Sus scrofa: one gene and its partners. The protein of the gene in region 5 purifies or fractionates together with the protein of the main gene of each other region. This does not show direct contact. Links are inferred from orthologs where the notes say so. Each region holds a gene or a part of one and is shown on either strand. Other genes may lie near its edges. The genes, in order: CCDC8, DUSP9, DUSP16, IQGAP1, MAPK14 and OBSL1.

Region 1 (3,974 bases), on a different chromosome or scaffold from region 5:
CCCTGTGGCTCTCCAAGCAGCTGAGGATTCAGCTTCCTGGACAGCCAGGGCCTCTGCCCTCTGACTACATGCAGCTTCTGCCCTCTGGTCAGGAATGGCCTCTGCCCTCTGGACAGCTGGCGCCTCTGCCCCCTGGACAGCTAGGGCCTCTGCCCTCTGATTATCTGCAGCCTCTACTCTCTGGACAGTTGGGTCCTCTGCCCCCTGAGCAGCAGGGGCCTCAGCCCTCTGATTATCCACAGCTTCTGCCCCCTGGAGAGCTATGGCCTCTGCCCCCGGGACCACTACTACCTCTGCCCTCTGATCATCTGCAGCCTCTGTTCTCTGAGCTCTAGTTGGGGCTTCCTCCCTCCTGCGACGACGGAAGGAGGCCCAATTGATTTTGGGTCTCCACCGACTTGGGGGATTCTCAGGCACCCGCCCATCTCCTGCATTTCCCCTGTCCTCCCCGAGGCTTGAGCTGCCTGGCACCGATGCGCCATCCCTCTCCACCCTGGTAGAGGCCTGCCGGGCCTCACCCACCCCTGGGCTGGACCTCGGTGCCCAGCCCTTCACCCTCCGCTTCAGCTTCCCCCAGGACACCTGGCTGACATATTCCCGCCATCTATCAGCCTTGGACAGCTGGGGTCCCGGATTGTCCTCAAACATGGGCACTGGCAGGGTCACACGGCGGCGGGCCGGCGGGGCACTGGGCTTCTTCTCTCCTCGCCGCAGGAAGGCCTCAACCAGTTCCTCGTCATCCTCGCTCTCCAGGTCGCTCCCAAGGAATTTGCTGCCCAGGTAACTGACAGGCATTTTGCGCAGCCTCCTTCCACGCCCCGTGCCTTTGTGGTCCTTGTCATCCTTGTCTCTGGAGGTTTCAAAGTCGCTGAACTCGCTGTCACTGGCATTGCTGCTGTCATAAGTACCCACGACCAGCCGAGGAGGTGGCGTCACCATCTGCGGGACTCTCCTCCTCGATCCGGGCTCCTTGGGCTTTTTAGGGGGCTGGGGCGGGTGGGGGGTGCTCTTCTCGATGATGCGGGCCACATCCTCCAGGGTGCGGCCTTCTTCCTCCAGAAACTGGATCAGCCGCTCCCGAAATTCCGCCTCCTTGGTGGCGGGCTTGGAGATAACCCTCCAGACGCCTCCCGCCAGCCTGACCTCGCGGGGGATGAGCAAATAGTCTACGTCCTCGCCGATCTGCAGCATCCCCACCGTGGAGTCCTCCTCGCGGCGGAACACCTTGCCGATCTTCTTGAATGTCCCCACCGGCTTCAAGGCTTCCACGAGGACGTCCAAATCCACATCTTTGCAGATGTCGGGGACGCTCCAGAGGATCAGGCAATCAGGGGAAGGGAGGAAGCCCCAGGGGAACCAGCCCCCCACGTGGCTTTTCTCGAGGGTCTTTAAGATCTCCAGGGTGAAATCTAAAGTGCGGGCAAGGAGCCCAAACTACTCGCAGCGCCGAGTCTTGGGGTGGGGATGCGGTCCCAAGAGCGCGGCCGGGAATCTCACCTCCCAGTTTCTCTGCCCGCAACAAGTCGGGTCGTGATCCAGTTCGCTCCCCTCAAGGACTGGTGGGAATCGATTCAGGGTGCTTACGTGAGTCGGAGTCTCAAGGTTCCAAGCCCGCCGCAAGCTGTAAATGGGTGTCCCGGCTCCAACTCAGTGTAAGGACTGCTGGTGGCTCTTCCTGTGCCAGGCACAGGGGACGTCCCTGGAACTTGGGAAAGGACTTTGCAGACAAAGACGGCTCAGCTGTGGCTGTTCAATATGGCCGAGGCTCTTGGAGGCCGCAGCCAGCTCCCCAGGAGGGTCTCCCGCCCCTAGGCAGGCTGCCACCTCGGTCCAGGCTGACCTTGACGCGCCTCCGCCCCCAGCCTGCGCGCCCAGGGCCGGCGAGTGCGCGCGCGGGCAGGAAGTTCCTCCTCGCCTTCCCCCTGGATGAGGCCCACCTTCTCCCTGCTCGGCTTACACTCCCGGACTCGGGGAAGACTGACAGGGGGGCTGTCCACTCCCCTTGGGGCGCCCTCGCCGCCCTCCCCCCCAGGGGTGTGGCTGCGCCCCGGGCCTCTCAGGGGCCCCGGCTTCCAAGCCAAAGGCCTGCGGTGCCGACGCCCACGTCAGCAGCTTTCTCTGAGAAAGGCAGCAGTTCCCGAAACTACCGTCCCAAAAGTGCGGGTTCCAGCCCAGCCCTGAAGGTGGGCGCGCTCATCATCGGGCAATCCCTTGGAAAGCCACTGACAGTATAGTACCATCTTAAAATTAAGTGACTTTGGGTACCGGCAGTTCCTAGCCATATACCCAGACATGTGGGTGAAGAACCTGGTATCAAGGTCTTATTGCAGCTCATCATGGGGCTTGGCACAGAGTAGGTGCTCAAGAAATATTTTTGAGTGAATGAATGCACCTAATTGTTCACCGGTAGGGACTAACGGTGAAATACTAGGCCGTTATGAAAAAGAGAAGTGACTGAGAATAAACACATTTTAGGGAGCACTTCCTACGTACGAAGGACCATGCTAAGTGCTTTTTATAAATTAACTCATAAAATTCACACAAAAACATCAGGATACAGATAATACGATGCTCATTCCCATTGTACAGCTGAGGAAATAAAATCAATCTCTTGCTCAAGGTCACATGGCCAGGAAGAAGACTGAACCTGGATTTGATTCTGAAACAGTCTAATGTGTGTGTAGACCAAAGGGCCTAGGTGTATACATACATTTGTCATGTGTAGAAGCACTGCCAACAGTGGCTATATCTGGGGACCCCGGAGGTGGCTTTTCACTTTTCACATGACTTTTCACTCTATCATTTTGGAGTGCTTCAATTTTTAACAATCAAAAATGTTAACTGAAATAAGTTAAATTAAATTGAAGGACCTCAGATACCTCAAAAATGTTAATTGAAATAAGTTAAATTAAAGGGTCAGGATTCGCAAAGCTTCTTGGGTAACTGTGAGGCAACCACATGCACAGCAACAACTGCCTTAGTAATAATAACGGTTAACCTGCATGGATGCTTTCTTTGAAACCAGGCATCCTGAGTGGGCCTGTTATGAATCTGCAGAGCTACACCGAAAGGTGAATGCCTTCACTATCATCTCCTTACAGCTGGGGACACTGAGGCTGGTCCCCGATTGCACAGTTCGAAGTGGAGAGCCAGATATTTGAACCAGATCCCAGACGTTAGAACTAACTCCAGGCTCTGAAGATACAGCTGATCTGCGTCCTCCTGAGAGTGCTAGGCTGTTTGACCCCTTAAAAGCCATCGCATGTCCAGCTGCCCTCAATGCTTGCCTGGATCCATACAAATCCCTCCTCGTGGGGCTCCCTGCTTCCTTCTCACTGCCTATAATCAATCCACCCCCAACCTAGCAACTTAAGCCAGATCTGTCTCTCCTCTAATTTTTTTTTTTTTTTTTTTTTTTTTTTTGTCTTTTTGCTATTTCTTGTGCCGCTCCTGCGGCATATGGAAGTTCCCCGGCTAGGGGTCGAATCGGAGCTGTAGCTGCCAGCCTACGCCAGAGCCACAGCAACTCGGGATCCGAGCCGCGTCTGCAACCTACACCACAGCTCACGGCAACGCCGGAACCCCGACCCACTGAGCAAGGGCAGGGATCGAACCCGCAACCTCATGGTTCCTAGCCGGATTCGTTAACCACTGCGCCACGACGGGAACTCCTCTCCTCTAATTTTAAAGTCCTCGCCATCACCCACAAAGTCCCACTTCCCGCTCTCTTTCTCTCTTCCTCACTCCACTCCAGCCACACCTGCCTCCTCATTGGTCATCCAATAAATCGGGCTTACCTCCACCTTCAGGTCCTTTGCATCACTGGTCCCAACACCCAGAAAGTTCTGCCCCTACCTTCTCTTGGCAATCTCCCTCTGCTCAAATGTCATCTTTTTTTGTTGTTGGCCGTGCAGAAGGTCTCAGGCTAGGGATCTAGCCCATGCCACAGCAGTGACAATACTGGATCCTTAAGC
Region 2 (4,062 bases), on a different chromosome or scaffold from region 5:
CCTTGGCCATTTATCTATTGGAGCCTTAACCTTTTGATTAACTTGTATGAGCTTTATCTTATCTGCTGCACATTTTCCTTCGGCCCTGCTATTTGCTTTAGATGGGTTTTAAGCAGAGAAGGGACACAGAGCCAGACTTTTCAGAAAGCTCCCCCACCTTATTTCATTGTCTCAGCCCTTATCATGCCCCGTATTATCTTGTTCGGTCTCCCCGTTTATTGCCGGCCTGTCCCGCTAGCCGCTAGCCGGGGCGTGCCGGGCGAGCAGGGGCCAGTGTGTCCCGTCTGTTGATCCTCCTGTGTCCATGGAAGGCTTGGAGGCCCCCCGGCCTTCGCTGAGTGGATAAGCTGCGCGGGACGGTGCCGAGGAGGTGCGAGGCAGCCGGGAGGTAGGGCAAGGGCCTTGGAAGCTGTGAGGATGCCCTGTGCCAGGGCAGGGGGGAGAGGGGACAGCACAGGGGCGGGAGACATTGAAGTCGAAAGTACGCGGCTCTTGCCGAGAAAGGAGGCAAAGCCAGAAGCTGGGGCGGCTGCCAGGATCCATAGCGCGGGAAGAGCAGAGCTGTGGGCCTGAGCAGCAGGGGTTTTGGGTGCTGCTTCCTCCTCCCCTCCGTGATTTCAGGGGCCTCCCCTGGTAGCCCAAGGTGGTGGCTCTGATGAGCCTGTTATGTAGACAGGGCCACTCAAGGCCAGTCAGGGCTCAGGATAGTCCCGGGTCCCCCCAGATGAGTAGAGCTGGAGGCAGCCTCTGGGGCAGGGGCGCTGGGCCCTTGTCCTTACCCCTCCCCCTTCCTCCAGGGGCCTGACTGGCGCCGGCCGGGGGAGCTGCAGCTGGTCCCCTGCTGGGCCCCTGACCTGCCCTTGGCCTCTGCCCTGGCCCTGTCCCGCTTCGGTGGAAGCCCCGGCTCAGCGCGCCACTTGCAGGGCCCACTCAACTGCTTTCACTGGCACTCGTTGGCTCGCTGGCCCCCTGAGCCCGCCCCCGCCGCCCCGCCCCTCTAAACGGCAACTCCACGTCCAAAGGCAGCGGCTTCCAAGGTGGAAGCTGGGTCCTGCTGCCAGGAAGCGGCCAGTGTGCCGGCGGTGGTGGACTCGGCCTCCACGTGCGCGCCTGCTCCGCCGGCCCGCCCTCTTCCCAGTGGCCGGGCCCGAGGACACCCTGCCCGGGGCCAGTGCCCCACATCCTGCGGTGGCCGTGGCTGGGACGTCCATGCACGGCCGCTCGCCGCCGGATCACGCTCCAGGTCTCTCTCCTTTTGTTTCCTGCGGGTTGGGGGAGGCAGCTCCGAGAGGTCCAGCCGAGGTCCAGCCCCCCCCTCGGCACCACCTCTGTTCCCCAGGCTGCCTGGCCACGGGGGGCTCTCGGCCTCGCCCCCCTCAGGCGAGCGTGCGCTCACACCCGCCCCCAAAGTTGGAAGCCAGAAAGTGGAGAGAGTGCGTGCGGGCGCGGCGGGCAGGCGGAGTGAGAGATGCGGAAAGGGGATGTGGGGGAAGGTGGCTGTGGCCTTGGGCCCCCCAGGAGGAGCCAGGACGGGACACGGCGCTTGGCTCTGGCTCTGGAAGGGGCCGTTGGACGCCCAGCTGCCCTCTTCTGCGGGACCGAGGAGCAGCGCGGGTATTTGTCTAGGGGCGTGCCAGAGGAGGATTGGGCGGTAGAAGGGTGTCCCCGGGGGACCCCAGCCTCCCGTTTTGGGGACACGGGGTTGGCTTCACGTCTTGGCCCCTGGGCCCGCGGCCCTTCGCGGCCGGGCGCGAAGGACACGGGCTCACGTCGAGCTCCTTCCCTCTCTCTGCAGCTCCTGAGACCCGATCTGCCGGGAGCCGGGAGCCCATGGAGGGTCTGGGCCGCTCCTGCCTGTGGCTGCGCCGGGAGCTGTCGCCCCCGCGGCCGCGGCTGCTGCTCCTGGACTGCCGCAGCCGGGAGCTGTACGAGTCGGCGCGCATCGGCGGGGCGCTGAGCGTGGCCTTGCCCGCGCTGCTCCTGCGCCGCCTGCGGCGGGGGAGCCTGTCGGTTCGCTCGCTGCTGCCCGGGCCCCCGCTGCAGCCGCCCCCGCCCGCCCCAGTGCTCCTGTACGACCAGGGCGGGGGCCGGCACAGGCGCGGGGAGGCAGAGGCCGAAGCCGAGGAATGGGAGGCCGAGTCAGTGCTGGGGACCCTGCTCCAGAAGCTGCGAGAGGAAGGCTACCTGGCGTACTACCTGCAGGGTAGGTGCGGGTGGTGGCCCGGCGGGCACCAGCCTGGGGAGGACCCTGGCCCAGGGGAAGCATTATGCCTTCTGAGGGCAGTCATAATTCCTTTGACCTTGGGCGAGTCTGGCCTCATTTTGTCTAAAGTGGAGGTGGGACCCTGACCGTAACCTTGGGGAAGTCCTTCACTCTTGGGAGCCCCCGTTTCTGAGCCTGGAAGATGGGGCGAATCGGGCCGGCCTCCAGAATAGAGGATCCACGGAGGTCCCGCTGCGGCACAGTGGGTTCACAATCTGGCTTGTCTCTGTGGAGGCACTGGATCCATCCCCAGCCGTCACAGTGGCTAAGGATATGGTATTGCTGCAGCTGTTGCTCAGATTCCCTGGCCCCGGGATTCCATATGCCTCGGGTGCAGCTGAAAAAAAGAAAAAAAAAAAAAAAAGGAGTTCCCCTTGTGGCTCAGCTGGTTAAGAATCTGAATAATATCCATGAGGGTGCGGGCTCAACCCCTGGCCTCACTCAGTGGGTTTAAAAAAAGGAAAATAAAAGGGAGTTCCCGTTGTGGCTCAGCGGTAACAAACCCAACTAGTATCCGTGAGGACGCGGGTTCGATCCCTGGCCTCGCTCAGTGGGTTAAGGATCCGGCATTGCCGTGAGCTGGGGTGCAGGCCACACACACGACACGGATCCCGCGTTGCTGGGGCTGTGGTGTAGACCGGCAGCTACAGCTCCGATTGGACCCCTGGCCTGGGAATCTCCACTTGCTGCAGGTGCGGCCCTAAAAAGACCCCCCCCCAAAAAAAAGGAATAGAGGACCCAGTGTGGGCTCCGAGCCCTATCCCCACCTCCCCCAGCTGCTCAGCCATGGGCAAGGGAGGCAGGCGCTGGGACAAATCCCACTCTGCAAAGGGTCTGGAGAGGGCAGAGGCGGGGAGAGAGGGAGAGAGGCAGTGAAGGCAAGAAGAGGCAGAGACCTGGCCCCCCTATAGTCTTGGCAGGGCTTGGGGGTGGAGGGGAGGTGGGCTGATGCAGGCACACTGGCTCCTTGCCAAGCCAAACACCCCCAGAGATCCAGGGTAGCAACAGGATGCCCATGAACCTGCAGAGCCAGCTGCCCCCCCGCCCCGCCCCGCCCCAAGGAGGTTCGTTGAACCGTCGTCACTTGCTCCATTCTGAGTGCACCAGGATATAGAAATACAGAAAACACTGCGTTTCCAGCCCCCCCCCCCCCCGCACCCGAGGAAATCGTAGTTATTTGCAGGTGGAGGTGTGCGCCTCTTGGGACTTTGGGGCCATGCAGGCGGAGTGCTACACTCTCCCAGGCCTTCTGCCTCTTGGGGCCCCAGCTTCATCCCTGGAGGCAGCACAGACATGGCTGTCACCTGGTCTCTGCCCTCGAGTGCTCCCTGGTCAGGCTGGATCGGGAGACACCCAGGCAGAGAACTCACATCCGACCGTTTCCTCTTCTTTAACTGATGGCTGCTGTCCTCCCCAAGGCTCTCAGGACATCTAAACTCCATGGAGCCTTCCTGCCTGCCTTGGCTCGGCCCCCGGGGTTGTTATAGCCTCTTGGGGTGCCCTGCCTGGGCCTGGCATCTTGCAGCGGCGGTGGGCGCTGGTCCTGAGCCAGCATGGCTGGGCTGTCCCTAGCGCACCACCCGGGACAGCAGGGTAGGTCAGGCCGCTGGCCTGCAGGTTCTCTTTGGAGACGGCTGCGAGCCCCTTGGGGCACTGAGATGGTCCGGGCTCGCTTTCCTCTCCTCAGCCAGAACACTTGGCTGCCCAGGAGGCCAGGTCCATAGGACCCTCCCCTTGTCCCCTCCTAGGTGGCTTCAGCAGATTCCAGGCCGAATGCCCTCACCTGTGTGAGACCAGCC
Region 3 (4,262 bases), on a different chromosome or scaffold from region 5:
CAGCTATGTAAGTGAGCTTCCTCAACATGTAATCCCATAGGCCAGAAAATCTATGGAATTTAAATTCCCAATACAGGCATTTATAGAAAAGAACATCAAAACACCAACCCTGGCCCTTCCAATGACCCCAGCCTAAACTCTGCACTCATCTCAGACTTGATCTCAGCCTCACTTCCACAAAAGAGTTTCTAATGTTTAAGAAAAAGGAAAAGAACTGGGTTAACAGGATCTTCTCTTTTGCCCCCTTTTCAGTTACTCCCATTAAGCTTTTGGCCAAAGAGATCCCAAATCCTCAATTTTACATGACTAGTTTACAGGTATTCAATTATTTTTACATCTGAATGCAGGTTTACAGTGCTTCAATCTACTTTTTTTTTTTTTCATGTTATTCACCATACCAGCAGAATTCAGAATAAACTCATTTTTACCTTTTTCCCCCATATAGAACTTTGATAAGTACATTTTACCTAAAACCAACTTTGGGGCTGATTTTTTTACATGAACATGTTAACTGCCCCCAATGTTTTTTTAACAACAAGATTTCACACAGTTATCAAACTCACTTAAATTCCAGAACTTTACTTATACAAAAAAAACAAAAACAAAAACAAAAAAAACTTTCACAGTGCCTAGTCACGTTTTGACTAAAATACCTAACTCCCAAGCTCTTAGTTTTTCAATTTACCTTTTCCAGGTTGCTACCTTCACCAAAACCAGAATTCCACAAGTCTCAATTAACTACAGCCTCCCAAGCTGTCTGTCCACCAAAATACAGGATTCTCAAGGAAAAGTAAATAATTCACAAGTGACTGATTCCATTGGTAAGAATTCGCTCCTTTTAAAAATTTACCTTAACTTCAAAAATCTTTGCTCTTGATGTGGTTCGGAATAGCATAAATCCTCTGAGGAAGCAGTTGTCACTTAACGTGCACTTAAAGATGAGTGGCTTAAAGATCTGACAGTCTAAGTTCCCCAAATACTAGTCATAAGGTCTCTCATGGATGGTAAATTTCACACACACAAACAGCCCGGAAAGAAAGCAAAGAAACATACCTGGTCATTTTCTAAACAGGTTTGATAGGTTTGGTTCCCTTGTAAGAGCAGAGTATTTACTTATAATCTTTTAAAGCAGAAGTGGCAGCCAGAACACTGGGTAAATAAAAACTTCAGAGAGTTTAAAACACCCTGCATCTTAACTCACTTCCCCTTGATGCAAGGGGACGGCACTGCAAACCCCCGGGCAAATGAGATTATGTAACAGGTTTTTCCTCTCCACTTTATTCATCACAGGCTGGATGGAGGTGTGCTTTCTCCAAACGATTCGAGGCACTGGGGATTTTATTTAGGATCTTTGCAGCGGACGGTTGAGAAACTTCTTCAGGATTTTGCCATATCCATTCATTTTAAGATCTCCTTATATTTTCTCAAGTTAATTCCCAGGTTGTTATTGTTGAAGTTTTAAAGGAAATAAGCCCGGCAGCACCTGAAATCTTCAGTCTTGCACAAATATTTTCCTCCCCGGTGTTTCATTACATGAAAAGTACACTCGATACACAGACCCTCGGTTGTCTCCCCGGGCTTTTTCCTTTCTCACGTTTTAGGGTTAGTGTAAATAAAGAAGTCACTGGCACACCGAGCCCCCAACACCCTGCCTGTGTAGGAGGGCGGGGGCAGCGCATGAAAAGCGAGTTGGTGGAAGAAAGCGGCCCCGTCACCACCCAGGTGGCCCCGCTGCTTACACCCAGGGCGAGTTGGGGATAATGGGAACCGTCAGGCCGGGGCCCCACTTGGCAGGCGTGTTGTGTAACAGTCGCGCCTGGAAGCGAGCGGCTTCGCCCGCGAAGGGACCGCGACCGCCGGCGGCTCCTGGCGGCGGGACCCGGCCGCTCGGCCCCAGTCCCCGCGCCGTCCCCCGCCCCCTCCCCGCGCGGCCCCCCTCGTCCCCCCCCCCAGCTTCCCACGCGCGCGCCGCTCCGGGCCGCGGTCGCCCCCACCCCGCCCGCCCGCCCGCCGACCCGGGCCCGGCCGCCGGGAGGGCAGAGCAGCCGGGGCGCGCGAAGGAGCGTCCATGCTGCCGGCGCGGCGGGCGCCCGGCCCCGCGCCCTCCCACCCCGCCGTCCGCGCGGCCACTTACTTGGGGAGCTACCGACCTCCCGGCTCTCTCGGGGGGAAATGAAAGTTGTCACGGCGTCTCCCCGCGGGGCCCCCTCGCCTCCCGGACCTGCGAGGCGCCGCGGCGGAGCCGGGAGGGCGGCTGCGCTCCTGCTCGCGTCCGTCCCGTCGCGCTCTCCTCCTCCTCTTCTTTTCACTATATTATCTTCTCCTGCTCGGAGGGGCGGGTGGGGGCGGGAGGCTTAGGAAGCGAGGAGAAGTTTGCAACTTTTCTTCACTCTTTCTCTCCCCCCCACCCCCGATCAGCCTTGAAAAAACACTGCTGAAAGGGGTGAGGAACCTGGGGAGGTGGGGGGGCGGCGGGGGCAGGGAGAGGTGATGATAGTCGTTTGAAAACTGATCAGAGCCCCCCAAACAGGGACACCCAGAAAGAGGGGGAAAGGCGGGGGGGGTGGGGTGGGGGTGGGGGAAAAGAGAAAGAGTCGCTGGTCAGGAAACTTCAAGCGCGGATGAGGTCATTGGTTTAAAAATAAAGAGATGGCGTCACTTGAAACCAATCCCAGTGAATGAACTCAGCGGAGCCCCGGGGAAAGGAGGAGACAGGCGAGGGCAGGGCGGTGGGCGCCGGGCGGGGCCGCGCGCCGCCCGCCCAAGTCCGGAGCGGGGCTCGGCGCCTGGTCGCGGCCGCTCGGGGAGGGGACGGGTCACGTTCCGTTCCGGGGCCCGGCGGCTCCGGGGCAGGTTCCGCGGGCGCCGCTGGGAGGAGCCGGGCGGCTGGGGGAGGCGGACCCGCGGCCTCCTCCTTCCGCGCCCGCGTGCCCGCCGCCCCCGGGGGCCCCGAACCCCGACCTCCCTGCCTGGTCTCGGCCGCGCGCCTTAGCGCCGCGCCCCAACAGGTATTTCAGGGTCGCATCCCCCACCCCCACGCCAGCGAGGAGCAGAACCTTTTCCTCCTGGTTGGGCTGTTTCCAGCTGCCTCCCCAGCGTGAAGAAACGCAAACAATGATTTGAGAGAATTACAATCGCTCTTTAAAAACCCAAAATGCAGGGCACCGCCGTCTCTTAGGAAAGAGAAGTAACAGGTACTTTAAGAAAAATCACATTCAGGTGGTCAGGCACTCAGCTGCCTCTCTGTGTCTGTCATTGAAAGCCCCCACCTGAATGCTCCTAATATTCATTATTTTACTTTGATTAAATTTACTCAACATTTCCTATTTACAAATGTAATGGGAATGAGCAGCCTAAAATGCTCTTTAGAGGTATGTTCTATATCGGGCAGCACAGAATCATCTTGAAATCAAAACAGAGGTTCACTGCCTCTTGAGAGGTGCAAGACCCCATTGATTTAACTTCACACACTTCGTGCATTTTTAAATTTGGACTAATTAAAATAGCTTTGTTTTGAAACTACATTACACACTTGGGGAAACTAGAGACCTGAGGTGGTGACAATCCAGGACTTGGAATCACTGACTAGGACAATCAGATCTTTATTCTAGTGTTCTTTGAGCATTTGAGCATGAAGCTGCTTCAACTGAGAAGTACTCACGTGGATATCACATAACAAAGATGTGATTAATGACGGAAAAGCACACTGCGAGTGAACTGCTCCAGGAGCCAGAATTTGTAGGCAGGAATAGTGTATCTCCTCAAGTGTTCCATTTGCAATGTACTCAATTTGGGACCTTGGTCCCGAAAGTCATCTTTGTTCGGAAATGTCTGTTTGGACACTTCCAGGGGCTTTTTGTTTGCTTGTTTAATTGGCAAAAGAACTGAAAAGCAGGTTTGGAGTGAGAAAGCTGAAACATCTCCATACTCCCTTTCTGCCTTTAAATCGTGCAGCTAAAGTGCATTTGCTATTATAATCATTTCAGGTTAGTATTAGGGTAAGCCTCTAGGAGCTTCCAGCCCATGTTTTAGAGGAGAAAAAGGAGTCCACCTGGAGATGGGAATGCGCTGAGCACATCAGGCAGTCACTGAAGCCTGAAGGCCATAGATTTGACCTCTTTTAAGACTTCTATGGAGGGGAAGCAATCGCTCCCTGCGCCCTGTCCTCTGGTGGCCACGGGCTGTTACTGCTTGTGCTCTTCCAGGAAAGCTCTGATAATCGACTGACCACAGTCCTGCTGTTTAGAACAGATTCTAAAGGG
Region 4 (3,500 bases), about 21 Mb from region 5:
ACACTTTATATTAGTGTTTATACTAGTTCTTTTTTTTTTTTTAAAGGAAAGACTGTATTGGAATTGTTTATTCCTTTATCCCTGAGCACAATAGCCAATACAGAGCAAACATTTAGATAAAATTTAATTAGCATTAGACAAGTTTTTTTTGTCTGCACCCACGGCATGAAAAAGTTCCCACACCAGGGACAGAACCCATGTCACAGCAGCAGTGACGCTGGATTCTTAAACCACTAGGCCACCAGGGAACTCCTATATTATTTTACACTTAGCATATATTAGTTTCTATTAGTGTATAGTATAATTCATTTGTATTAGTGTACAATATATACTATTACACTTTTATTTTATTTATTTTATGGCCGCATTTGTGGCATATGGAAGTTCCCAGGCCATGGACTGAATCTGAGCTGCAGCCACAACCTATGCCCACAAATGTGGCAACACTGGATCCTTTAACTCACTGCACCAGGGTGGGGGCTGGGGATTGAATAAGCCTCCGCCGTGACCCTAGCCACTTCAGTCAGATTCTTAACCCACTGCACCACAGCAGGAGTTCCTGTTATTACATTTTAAAAGGTAGATGCTTCTTTTATTTATTTATTTATTTTCATCTTTTGTCCTCTTTTTTTTTTTTTTTTTAGGCCCGCACCCATGGCATATAGAGGTTCCCAGGCTAGGGGTCTAATCGGAGCTAACGCTGGATCCAAGCCATGTCTGTGACCTACACCACAGCTCACGGCAACGCCGGATCCTTAACCCACTGAGCAAGGCCAGGGATCAAACTGGCAACCTCATGGTTCCTAGTCAGATTCGTTTCTGCTGTGCCATGACAGAAACTCTGGTAGATGCTTCTTTTGAGTAAGTATTTCACACACTTCATGGTGCTGAGACCACGAAAAGCCACGGGCAGGCCTGACTCTCAGACTCTGAGCGTGTGAGCTAGTGGGAAGGGCCCGATGCTCCGTAGAACTCTGTTCGTACTTGATTTCCTCCTGTAGTGCTGTCTTAAAGAGCCGTAGGAGCAGGTACTCCTCTCGCTGGTTGGATGCATAGTTGTAGAGTGTAAAGATTACAGAGTCCATGAACTTGGTGGACTTGTTCTGGGGCATCTGAAAAATCAGCTTTGCCAGATAGGTGGGGTTGGTCTGAAATAAAACCACGAGATAACTTGTAGATAATACAGAAGATGACACAAACATTCACGAGTTTTCAGCCCAAAAGACTAAATGTACCTGAATAATCAAAAAAAATAAGACATCTCTTTGCTCTCCCCCTTAGCGAAAACCAGTAAGACTTCCATCGAGACCTATGCATAAGGTTTTCTTGTGGAAAAGTAAATTAACTTACATTTTGTAATAATAATTCCAGGAGCCACTCACCTGCAGTAAATAAAACAGGTGTTGATATGCTTCCAATTTCTCTCTCTTCTCTTTGCTCAAAGCCTTGAGACCTCCCTTTTGTTTATTTAGCATCATCATATCAGACAACTGTTCCTTATTTTTTTTGGTAAGTTTTTTACTGTGGGAAACCACATCCTATAAACAAACACATATACATAAATAAAAATAGCTTTTAAAGATGAAACTCCAGTCACTATGGAAATAAGGTCTTTTAGCACCTAAAAACTCTCTTCTGAAGGTCTACTGCACTGACAGATCCACATTAAAAATTCTTTTTCTTTTTTTTTTTTCGTTTTACAGCTGCATGTGTGACATATCGAAGTTCCCAGGTCGAACTGGAGCTGCAGCTGCTGGCCCACACCACAGCCACAGCAACAAGGGATCCCAGCTGCATCTGAGACCTACACCGCAACTTAAAGCAACACCAGATACTTAACCCACTGAGCGAGGCCAGGGATGGAATGTGTGTCCTCATGGATACTATGTTGGGTTCTTAACCTGATGAACCACAATGGGAACTGACCCGTTAAATATTTTATAATCACTACATCATATTCTACTTTCCGTATATCAATCAAATCTATTTCTACTTTCATCTTCCTATAAAGAAACTGTACCATAAAAATGTCCACTGATTCAGGAAACCAACTTCCAGGAATCTATCTTACAAAGTCTTAAATACAATAAAAGTTATGCATGCATTGAAACTTTCACTGCAGTGTTATTTTGTAATAATAAAAATTTGAAAATGTCAAATCATCTAGAAAAAAGAGGTAAAACATAGACTATTTCCTGATGAATTATTATATTGCCATTAAAAACAATATTTATGATGACTTCACATAGAGAAAGTACCTCATCCTCTACATTAAATAAGAATGTAGGATACAAAATGATTATTGGGGTGGTAGAATCACGGGATGATTTTTATCTATTTTTCTCTATTTAAAATTTTGCTATTAAATCATTTCATTTCCTATATAACTTTGAAAAAACCTACGGCATTAGCAGAGAAGAAAGCCAGCCACTCCGGTCATAAAGAGGGAGGTGGGGGTACCAGGTAGGAAAAAATGTCCCAAGGCCCCTGCTGGCACTGGACCATACCTGCAGTGTAATTTTATTTTTCACTAGCAGTCCAATTTTGATATCCATGAGATTGAGGTCATTCTCCAGCTGTTGGTTAGAACGAATGAGGGTAATGACCTCTTCCCGCATCTTCATGAGATCAAGCTCCTCCTGAAAATCCTGGTCACTCTGGTCGAGCAGGTGGACAAATTTTCGGACTACAATCATTGGAGGATCCTCAGCATTGACTGACAGAAAGAAAGCATGTGTCAGATGAAGAATGGAATTGCTAAAAAAAAGTTCCGTGTCTTGGAAAACATCAGCATTGTCTTAAAAAAAAAAAAAAACCTCTATTCACATGTAAGACATCTGTTTATTTTTGAGATGTGCAAAGACAGACACCAAGTGCAGTCTTCCCAGTCATGCTACTGCTAGGTTGTTATGTGGAAGGTGCACATGGCAAGCCACAAGACATCCAGCCACAGGTTAGCAAAGGGGCTTCAGTCACAAGCAGCACCCTACCCCCCAAGCCTTGCCTGCAGGACAAGAAAAGAGATCCGTGGAGAATACACAGAACCTGATGGCCTCAACTCTTCTCTGCCGAGCCAGTTACTCACTGAGAGTCTTGTAGTCATCACGAGCTTTGTTTGCCCGAATGAAAGCCTGGATTTTGATAATGTCATTTATCTAAGGAACAAAACAGAAGAAATTCCTCTGTTCACTTGTTCACCATGAACACAGCAAAACTGATGCTGTTGGTCCTTATTACCCAGGGGTACTCACGTGGTCTCGGAAGTACTGCAGGCGATCTCTATAGCGCTTTCTAGCTTGATGCATCCTTGCCAGGGACTGAATCTATGAAAAAGGAAGAGAGATGCTGGAAATTAGGAAAGCCCCTGCATCTCAACAGGTGTCATACTCACGTCCCGCGTTGAGACATCCTGCCACGTACCTTTATAACTTCATCTTTATGGGAGCGCAGGTAGGCTAAGCGATCTTGGTACGCCTTCTTCTGCTTGTATCCTCTCCACT
Region 5 (4,099 bases):
GCAAGAGAACCTGAGCCAAACCATGTTGAATCCAAAGAAAGCTTTCTACAAATCACTCATGACCCTGGTTTTGGGCTTAGTTTTATTTTTCCTTGAGGAGAACTGAGGATCCTGCTCTGCTTCTTAAATTGAGACCATGTCATTATTCATAATTTATTCAACAAATATTTATGGGGGAACTTTTACGTTCTAGGCACTGTGCTAAATGTTGGGGCAAGACAGACAAAGTCTGAGCACTCCAAGGATGCATATAACACAAAAGAGAATAATCATGGTTAGTGGCTTGAACCCAGTTATTTCTAAAAAGAAATGACTAAGAATAGATAGGGTCCAATTCTCCTGCTTATTGTAACAAGGTTTAGCATAGGAATAGGCCAACAGTAGGGGAAGTTATGGGATTATAATCCTCTGCCCATTCACATTTATTATTGTGTTTAGCTTTAAGTAGGGAATGTAGGGCAGGAATTCTCTTTTGCATAAACTGGAACCAAAGTCTAGGAAAGGTCAATTGACTTGCCTAACCGGACACTGCCAGAAGACCACTCTGCACTGTTCTTACTCTGAGAGGCACGATTTAAATGTTTACAATCCTCTTCCCTGGAAAACTCTTCAAGGTAAGAGTCAGTTTCAAACCTTCAGAGTAATGGTGTTAAAAATTCTTTTCAAACGGAGATACCAGGGACTTATCTGAATTACTTGGGGCATATTGTAAAAAGGCACATTCCTGGTGCCCATCGCGGACCTATCCAATTAAACTCGTTGTGGATCCATAGACTCTTCATTTTTAAACTCCCAAGGTGATTCCTCCGCACATAGAAAGTTGAGAACTACTAGTAGAGTTTGGGTGGAAAACCTCAAACTTAATGCAGGGCTAATATTTACCTTTGGGGCAGATTTCGTCAGAATTCCGAAGAGTAAGCCATATGTCCTTGAGCAGATGAGACTGCAACGGCTTTCTGGCCAGAACCTCTTTTTTATGCAATATTTCTTGGAAATTGGAGGTTCCGCTAAGCGGGTGCTCGGCTGCTGTGGTAGTTCAAAGATCCTTTGGCTCTTTCCCGACACCCTATTAGTCACTGTCGCTTTCCACCGGGGAACTAGGCATTTGCCCCGCCGACCACGGTGGGGCGCACGCGGCAAATGTTCGCCGCTTGACCACCTCTTGCCTGGGTCCGCCTTCGCGCCCTCAAGAAGAGCAGTTCCCGGGAGTTCCTGCCTCTGGTGACCAGCTGTTGCTCTCTTCTCGCGAGAATTGCTCCTCCCGTCCTCTCCCCTCAGCAACCCCCGCCCACAGGCAGGTTCCATATTGGGTAAAATCTCGGCTCGCGGAGAGTCCCGGGAGCTGTTCTCGCGAGAGTAAGGCAGGAGGCTTCTGTTCGCTGGCTCTGGAACGGCGACCACTGGAACCTCTGCGGGCGCTGCAGCTGGAGCGGTAGTCCCGCGGCGCAAACCGGAGTCGGCCTGGACTGAAGCGGGTGCAGGGAGAGTGTGGTGGGCGCAGCTTTGAGCCCTGGAGCGCGCCCCTGCCCATAGCAGGGCTCGCCCCAGTCGCCGAGGCGCGTCCAGCTGCTGCGGCTGACAGGGGCCGCGCGCGCGGGAGTTGTCAGGGTCGCGGCAGCCGCACCTGCGCGGGTGGCCAGCTCTAGGTCCCCGCAGGGTCCGGCGGACGCCGAGGTCCGAGGAGCGGGTGCGGGCGCAGGCGGGGCCCCGCAGGGCCACCTCCTCGCCCCGCGGCCGCCGCTGGAAGATGTCTCAGGAGAGGCCCACGTTCTACCGGCAGGAGCTGAACAAGACAATCTGGGAGGTACCCGAGCGTTACCAGAACCTGTCCCCGGTGGGCTCCGGCGCCTATGGCTCCGTGTGGTAAGTGTCACTGGGCCTGGGGCCTTGGTGGGCTGGGTAGCCCTTCATGCCCCAGAGCCAGGCCTGCCCCCACGGCTCAGCAATGCACCAAGCGGCAGGAATTTTCCCTGGGGGGAAGCCATCCCTGCCCCTTTGATCCCTGTCCTGGACTCCCTGTACCCTTGGGACCCCTCACTCAGCACACCCGCGTAGGTAGTCAGCTGTGTGTAGGACGAGGTCCGCAGTGAGTACCCGGTGGTGTTGGGAGCCCGGCGCTGGCTCGCACCCTGCGCGTTCCCTTGTCGGGGGTGGGGTGGGGTGGTTGCTGCTCTGGGGGCAGGAACAGGGGGGCCCTCTTTGGCGGTCTCCCTGCTGTCATCGAACAGAGGGGCTCTCCCGAGGGGCGCCCACTGTGGGCGCCGTAGCTTGCCCTTGGATCAGACAAGCCCGGGAGCTGCCGGGAGGAACAGAAGGGCAAAGCTCGCCAGGGAGACTGCGGTCATCTGAACAAAACTGAGGACGAAGGACGTACCGTCCCGGCTTTTTTTGCAAACCTTTGTCGAAATCCCATTTGGAGAAGCGTTCTTTTTGAATTCGCACTTGAATTAGCAGCTATCCACAGAGCTTAAAATACCGACTTTATCGCGGTGAGCACGGTGCCAACTTGAGTGGTGTGTTTCCGATTCAGTTGAAAGCGTATTTCCTTTTCGCAGAGTTGGGGGTGGGTGGTAGTGCCTGCAAACACCCTGCAGCTTGAGAAGCTGGCGGCTTCACTGATTAGTCACATACCACTGCTCATTTAAGTATTGTTGGACAAAACAATTTTCGCCTTTGGAGCAAGTGAGATTCAGATCCGTTGGACGCCCTTAAGATCAAAAAGTTACTAACAATATTGGGAGGTATTTTAAATATTTTTAAATTGTGATAATTCTTGTGAAATACTGGGCTTTTTAAGTCCCTTAGAGAGTTTGCAGGGAACTTATCTACACTTACAGCCTGAGGTACACCACGGTTTTCATAAGGATATGGAATGTATCGCAAAAGAAGGAAGAGACACTTTTCAGCCTTAATTCATGCTGTGAATGTGTTTTAAACTAAATGGTACCATAACATTTCCGGACCTGAACTATTTCGCTAACTTTTCTAACTTCCCAGGTCTTATACACTATATTTTAGATTTACTGCAATGTAAGAACTCCTGACCATAAGCTAATTCATGTGATTCCTGTGCATGTATCATTTGAAAAGAGGTCTACAAGATTATTTTTATTATTTTTTGTTTTGGCACAAATTCCAGGCTTTTAGACTCGTTAATCTTTAAATATAATTCCTGTGTTTCTTAAAGTCCCAGCATGAATTTCCTGTTTGGTAGAATCTTCTGGGTAATTGAGATTGTGCAATTGTGTCCAGCAACAGATCATATTGCGTTTTCTAGTTCAGGCTGCTTGAGTTATGTTGCTGATGGCACTATGCCTGACATCTTTTTTCCATTTTTATAGTAGGGCAGTTTATATTTTAAGGGAATTTGCAGCATTTAACCATATGCATATATGTGTGCTGTTTATTTGCTAATTTTCGAAGACGATTTTGGATCGTTGCTCCTTTAGTAGCTCATTAGTTTACCTCCATTTTTCATTCTTGACTTGGCACATTAATTTTTGTAGTACTGTGTTTTTCTGTCAAATAATGTTTAAACTTTAATGATGTGATACAGCAGAATAGCTCAGTTATGAAGAGTTTAAGAACTGCTTGCAAGGTTTCTCTGCCTTTGGTGTGACTAGCTATGTCTTGACACTGGAGATTCAGATTTACAGCAAAGTGCCGTTAAAATGAAGTTCACATTTTTTCAGTGCTATACTTTTCTGGTTTATAGAAGCCATCAATAAGTAAGTGACACTTGGAAGTAATTTTGTTAAACAGGTTTTTTGTTTGTTTGTTTGTTTTTGCTTTTTAGGGCCCCACCCACGGCATATGGAAGTTCCCAGGCTAACAGGTTAGGGGTCGAATCTGAGATACAGCTGCAGGCCTATACCACAGCTATGGCAACATGGGATCCAAGCTGAGTCTGCCACCTACACCGCAGCTCACGGCAATGCCAGATCCTTAACCCACTGAGCAAGGCCAGGGATCCAACTTGCATCCTCATGGCTCCTAGTCAGGGTTTTAACTCCTGAGCCATGAAGGGAACTCCCAGTTTTTTAGAAGTAGGTGATACATTCACATAGTATAAAATTCAAAAGTTATAAAAGGATAGTGG
Region 6 (3,500 bases), on a different chromosome or scaffold from region 5:
CCACATTCCTCGGTCCCATCCTCCCCGCCGTTCCTTTTTTGCCTCCCCCCAGATCGCTTCAGCCACTGACCTAACCTACCTACCTGGCCGCTGTGGGCATTTGAGTTTGCGACCCCTGCGTTTAACCAATAAACACGCAAATAAATGTACAGCGACACCTCGTGACAAAGTGCTGTGAGGGCTGAGGACTCAAGAGGACAGAGCAGGAAGTCAAGGAGGGCCTTGGGGAAAGTCACCATGCCACCTGCAGGCGTCAGCCCTGGCTCACAGACACACACGCACACCTCTGGCAGAAAAGCCAGGCACGATAGAGGGTCTTAGAGTGGGGATTGCTGAGTGTCCCCATAGGGTGCAGTGGGAGCCCAAGGCTGGGGGCTGCTAAGTGTTTAGTGGACCGGCGGTGTCTTCAGATATTTGGAGTAGGGGCTGAGTTAGCTGAGTGGCGGTCAGGGTTTGGGCTGAAAAGGTGGGGAGAGAATGTCCAAAGTGGGGAGAGCCCAGGATGACTGCGGCAGAACTGGTTCAGTGCCGGAAACTGGGGGCTGCAGCCCAAAGCGCCAGTCCCAGTGTGTATGTGACGGGGTGGGGAGTGTGTGCCTAGGCAGGTCTGGGTGGCACAGGAGAATCCCACTGGCTGCACTGGAGTGACCTCTTGCTGCTAGCACCGTCAGCATGTGGTGGCCCTCTCCCCTGCCTAGCTGGGCTCCTCAGGGCCCCCGACTCCCTGCACCCCAGATAGTGCAGCCTGATGCGCACAAGCTACGACATCAGAGACACCTTTCCACACACATTCTTCCCTGTAGTGAGTCCCTTCAGCATCTCCCACCCTAAGCCCTGGCCAGACATAATGGCCACAGCCACACACATGCCAGTCCACACTTGGCCTCCGCACAAAACACCAGATTCTTCACGGGGAAGCTCACACAACACACCACCTTGGCTGTGGACCAGGAGAATCAAGTTGGATGCCAAGCTGAGACCCCACGGCCATGCAGGTACCCCAGCCCCATCACTGCACCCTGTCCTCACGCCACTGCCTCCATCATCTACCCCACCTCTCAGGAAGCCTCATCCTGCAATCTACTGCCCCTACCGGGCCCCAGAGAACCAGCTTGCATCCTCTAGACTCTCAGAACAAGCCCATTTAGGGAGGCAGAGGCAAGGCTGTGGACACGTGCCTCTGTTAACAACCTAGATGGGGAAGCTAGCAGTTCCACAGCCCAGCCACAAGGGGGCGAAATGTTAAAGGAGCCCTAAAGTGTCCTGGAGACTTGATTCTGGAAGACCTCTGAGGTGTGGAAGCGTGGGCATGCCCTGGGCTCAGCTCCAGGATCACCTCCAACATTGACACGGCTCATTTCTGTGGAAGACTGGCCAGTTCAGGGGAGTTGGAGATGAACTCCTAGAATCAGCGGTTAACATCCCTCGGGGAACTCTTAGACAGATGTTGGCAACTCCTATGCTCATTACTGAGTTTCCTGCATGCCTTAGCTTGGAATCCCTACCACTGCTTATAGAGTGTGAGCCTCTTTTACCAGACAGTAGTTCTCCCTCCTGCCCTTGAGTAGGTATAGCTAGCTGCGACCTTGAGGAATTTACTTAGCCGCTCTGTGGCTCAGGTTCCTCATCCGGGAAATGGGAATAAGACTATGTTGGCGTTTGCTGATGCCCTAGTGATTAAGGATTCAGTATTGTCGCTGGTGTGGCTCGGGTTCAATCCCTGCCCCAGGAACTTATGCATGCCATGAGCCCCCCACCCGCCCCCTGCAAAAAACCCACAAAAAATTATACCTACGTCCTAGGATTGCTATGAGGATGTAAGGTGCTACTTACAACTGTTCCTGGAACTTTAGGAAGTAGTACGTAAGGGCTGAGGACTCAAGAGGACAGAGCAGGAGGTCAAGGAGGGCCTTGGGGAAAGTCACCATGCCACCTGCAAGCGTGTTTTGTGCGGAGGCCAAGTGTGGACTGGCATGTGTGTGGCTGTGGCCTTCCCTTAGCCACAATTCTGAAATTAAAAGAAAAAAAAAAAAAAGCCTCGCAATCAAAAGGCTTTCTGTAAATTTGGTATCAAAAGCCACTTCAGGAAAACCTGAGCTTAATTCTCTGAAACTATTGCCAATTTTCGATTATCCTGCTTAGGGCGGATATGTCTGTATGTTACACTGCAGAAGTGTTAGTGTAATTGATTATGGGGGGGGTGTCGCCGTGGGGGCTGAGGGAAGCGATATATGATAAATGCACCGTTTCTGGAACCGGGAGCATTCTGGATTCTGTAACAGGGACTTCAGATTGTGGACTATTGTTCCTTGTTATTATTATCCTTATTACTCTTGTGGTTGTGGGTGACAGGGACTCCCTGCTACTGGACGGCTCCAGGGAGGCTGACAGTGAGTTTGTGACAGCCTGTGGTTGCCCCCATTCTGCAGAACCCCCAGTCCGCATCATATACCCCCGGGACGAGGTGACCTTGGTCGCCGTGAGCCTGGAGTGTGTGGTGCTGATGTGTGAGCTGTCTCGGGAGGACGCCCCCGTGCGCTGGTACAAGGATGGGCTGGAGGTAGAGGAGAGCGAGGCCCTGGTGCTGGAGAGTGACGGGCCCCGCCGCCGCCTGGTGCTGCCCGCTGCCCAGCCGGAGGACGGGGGCGAGTTCGTGTGTGACGCCGGAGATGACTCAGCCTTCTTCACTGTCACCGTCACAGGTGGGCAATCTCTGGGACAGACACCCTAGGGAGGTAGAGAAGCAGGAGGCTGAGGAACAGATACCCAACCCTCCCACTTCCTGCACCTTCTCCCCACCAGGCCCCCAAGCTGGTGCGCACAGCCTTCCTTTGTCCAGTCTTCCCTCCTCCCCCAGGCCCTCCTTCTCAGCCATCAGAGAGCCCTGGCTTGCCCAGAGCAGGGGGGAACAGTGACAGAGGCCTGGTGGAGAGCTCAGCAATCAGGATCATTCGTCCATTCATTTATTCAACAAATACTTTGTGCTCTGCACTGTTCTGGATGCTAAGAGATATAGCAGCGAACCAAGAAGAGAAACCCGTGTTCATGGAGCTTGCAGATAGCAAATAAGTAAAATAGATGGTTTTTCAGGTAGTGATCAGTGCATTGGAGGCAAAGCAGGGAAAGGGGGTAGGAAGTGGGGGCCGGGTAGGGAGGGCTGTGCACTGGGGTCAGATCTGGCTGTGAGTGTGGGTCTGCCTCTTTCTGTCCATGTGAACTTGGGCAAGTCAGTTCCCTATAAAGATGCCTCAGTTCCTCGCATATAAAGAGAAGCCGGGAATTCCGATTGCAGCTCAGTGGGTTAAGAACCCAACTAGTGGTGTTCCCCTTGTGACCTAGCAGTTATCGAATCTGACTAGCATCCATGAGGATGCGGGTTCGATCCCTGGCCTCACTCAGTGGGTTAAGGATCTGGCCTTGCTGTGAGCCGTGGTGTAGGTCACAGGCGCAGCTTGGATCTGGCGTTGCTGTGGCTGTGGTGTAGATCTGATTCACCCCCT

What was found.
Region 1: the proteins of MAPK14 (region 5) and CCDC8 purify together in Homo sapiens (affinity purification with mass spectrometry; 3 studies listed by BioGRID and IntAct, counting the BioPlex papers as one, with this or other methods). This does not show direct contact. The link is inferred for Sus scrofa from reciprocal best matches to the Homo sapiens genes MAPK14 and CCDC8.
Region 2: the proteins of MAPK14 (region 5) and DUSP9 purify together in Homo sapiens (affinity purification with mass spectrometry; 8 studies listed by BioGRID and IntAct, counting the BioPlex papers as one, with this or other methods). This does not show direct contact. The link is inferred for Sus scrofa from reciprocal best matches to the Homo sapiens genes MAPK14 and DUSP9.
Region 3: the proteins of MAPK14 (region 5) and DUSP16 purify together in Homo sapiens (affinity purification with mass spectrometry; 7 studies listed by BioGRID and IntAct, counting the BioPlex papers as one, with this or other methods). This does not show direct contact. The link is inferred for Sus scrofa from reciprocal best matches to the Homo sapiens genes MAPK14 and DUSP16.
Region 4: the proteins of MAPK14 (region 5) and IQGAP1 purify together in Homo sapiens (affinity purification with mass spectrometry; 3 studies listed by BioGRID and IntAct, counting the BioPlex papers as one, with this or other methods). This does not show direct contact. The link is inferred for Sus scrofa from reciprocal best matches to the Homo sapiens genes MAPK14 and IQGAP1.
Region 6: the proteins of MAPK14 (region 5) and OBSL1 purify together in Homo sapiens (affinity purification with mass spectrometry; 6 studies listed by BioGRID and IntAct, counting the BioPlex papers as one, with this or other methods). This does not show direct contact. The link is inferred for Sus scrofa from reciprocal best matches to the Homo sapiens genes MAPK14 and OBSL1.

Annotation. Positions count from the first base shown.
Region 1 is NC_010448.4:52,473,334-52,477,307, reverse strand, and holds the start of CCDC8 (coiled-coil domain-containing protein 8), read right to left. Parts: upstream 2,801-3,974; 5' UTR 1,192-2,800; coding exon 1-1,191. UniProt on the Homo sapiens protein: Core component of the 3M complex, a complex required to regulate microtubule dynamics and genome integrity. It is unclear how the 3M complex regulates microtubules, it could act by controlling the level of a microtubule stabilizer.
Region 2 is NC_010461.5:124,408,279-124,412,340, forward strand, and holds the start of DUSP9 (dual specificity protein phosphatase 9), read left to right. Parts: upstream 1-1,262; 5' UTR 1,263-1,481; coding exon 1,482-1,614; intron 1,615-1,795; coding exon 1,796-2,203; intron 2,204-4,011; coding exon 4,012-4,062. UniProt on the Homo sapiens protein: Inactivates MAP kinases. Has a specificity for the ERK family.
Region 3 is NC_010447.5:59,868,440-59,872,701, reverse strand, and holds the start of DUSP16 (dual specificity protein phosphatase 16), read right to left. Parts: upstream 2,801-4,262; 5' UTR 2,135-2,800; intron 1,653-2,134; exon of another isoform or gene 1,054-1,652; intron 1-1,053. UniProt on the Homo sapiens protein: Dual specificity protein phosphatase involved in the inactivation of MAP kinases. Dephosphorylates MAPK10 bound to ARRB2.
Region 4 is NC_010449.5:53,100,479-53,103,978, reverse strand, and holds part of IQGAP1 (ras GTPase-activating-like protein IQGAP1), read right to left. Parts: coding exon 3,421-3,500; intron 3,324-3,420; coding exon 3,252-3,323; intron 3,156-3,251; coding exon 3,086-3,155; intron 2,717-3,085; coding exon 2,508-2,716; intron 1,539-2,507; coding exon 1,383-1,538; intron 1,149-1,382; coding exon 985-1,148; intron 1-984. UniProt on the Homo sapiens protein: Plays a crucial role in regulating the dynamics and assembly of the actin cytoskeleton.
Region 5 is NC_010449.5:31,790,299-31,794,397, forward strand, and holds the start of MAPK14 (mitogen-activated protein kinase 14), read left to right. Parts: upstream 1-1,305; 5' UTR 1,306-1,747; coding exon 1,748-1,863; intron 1,864-4,099. Other genes in the region: SLC26A8 (testis anion transporter 1), read right to left, coding at 883-1,305. UniProt on the Homo sapiens protein: Serine/threonine kinase which acts as an essential component of the MAP kinase signal transduction pathway.
Region 6 is NC_010457.5:121,567,815-121,571,314, reverse strand, and holds part of OBSL1 (obscurin-like protein 1), read left to right. Parts: exon of another isoform or gene 1-149; intron 150-2,429; coding exon 2,430-2,702; intron 2,703-3,500. UniProt on the Homo sapiens protein: Core component of the 3M complex, a complex required to regulate microtubule dynamics and genome integrity. It is unclear how the 3M complex regulates microtubules, it could act by controlling the level of a microtubule stabilizer.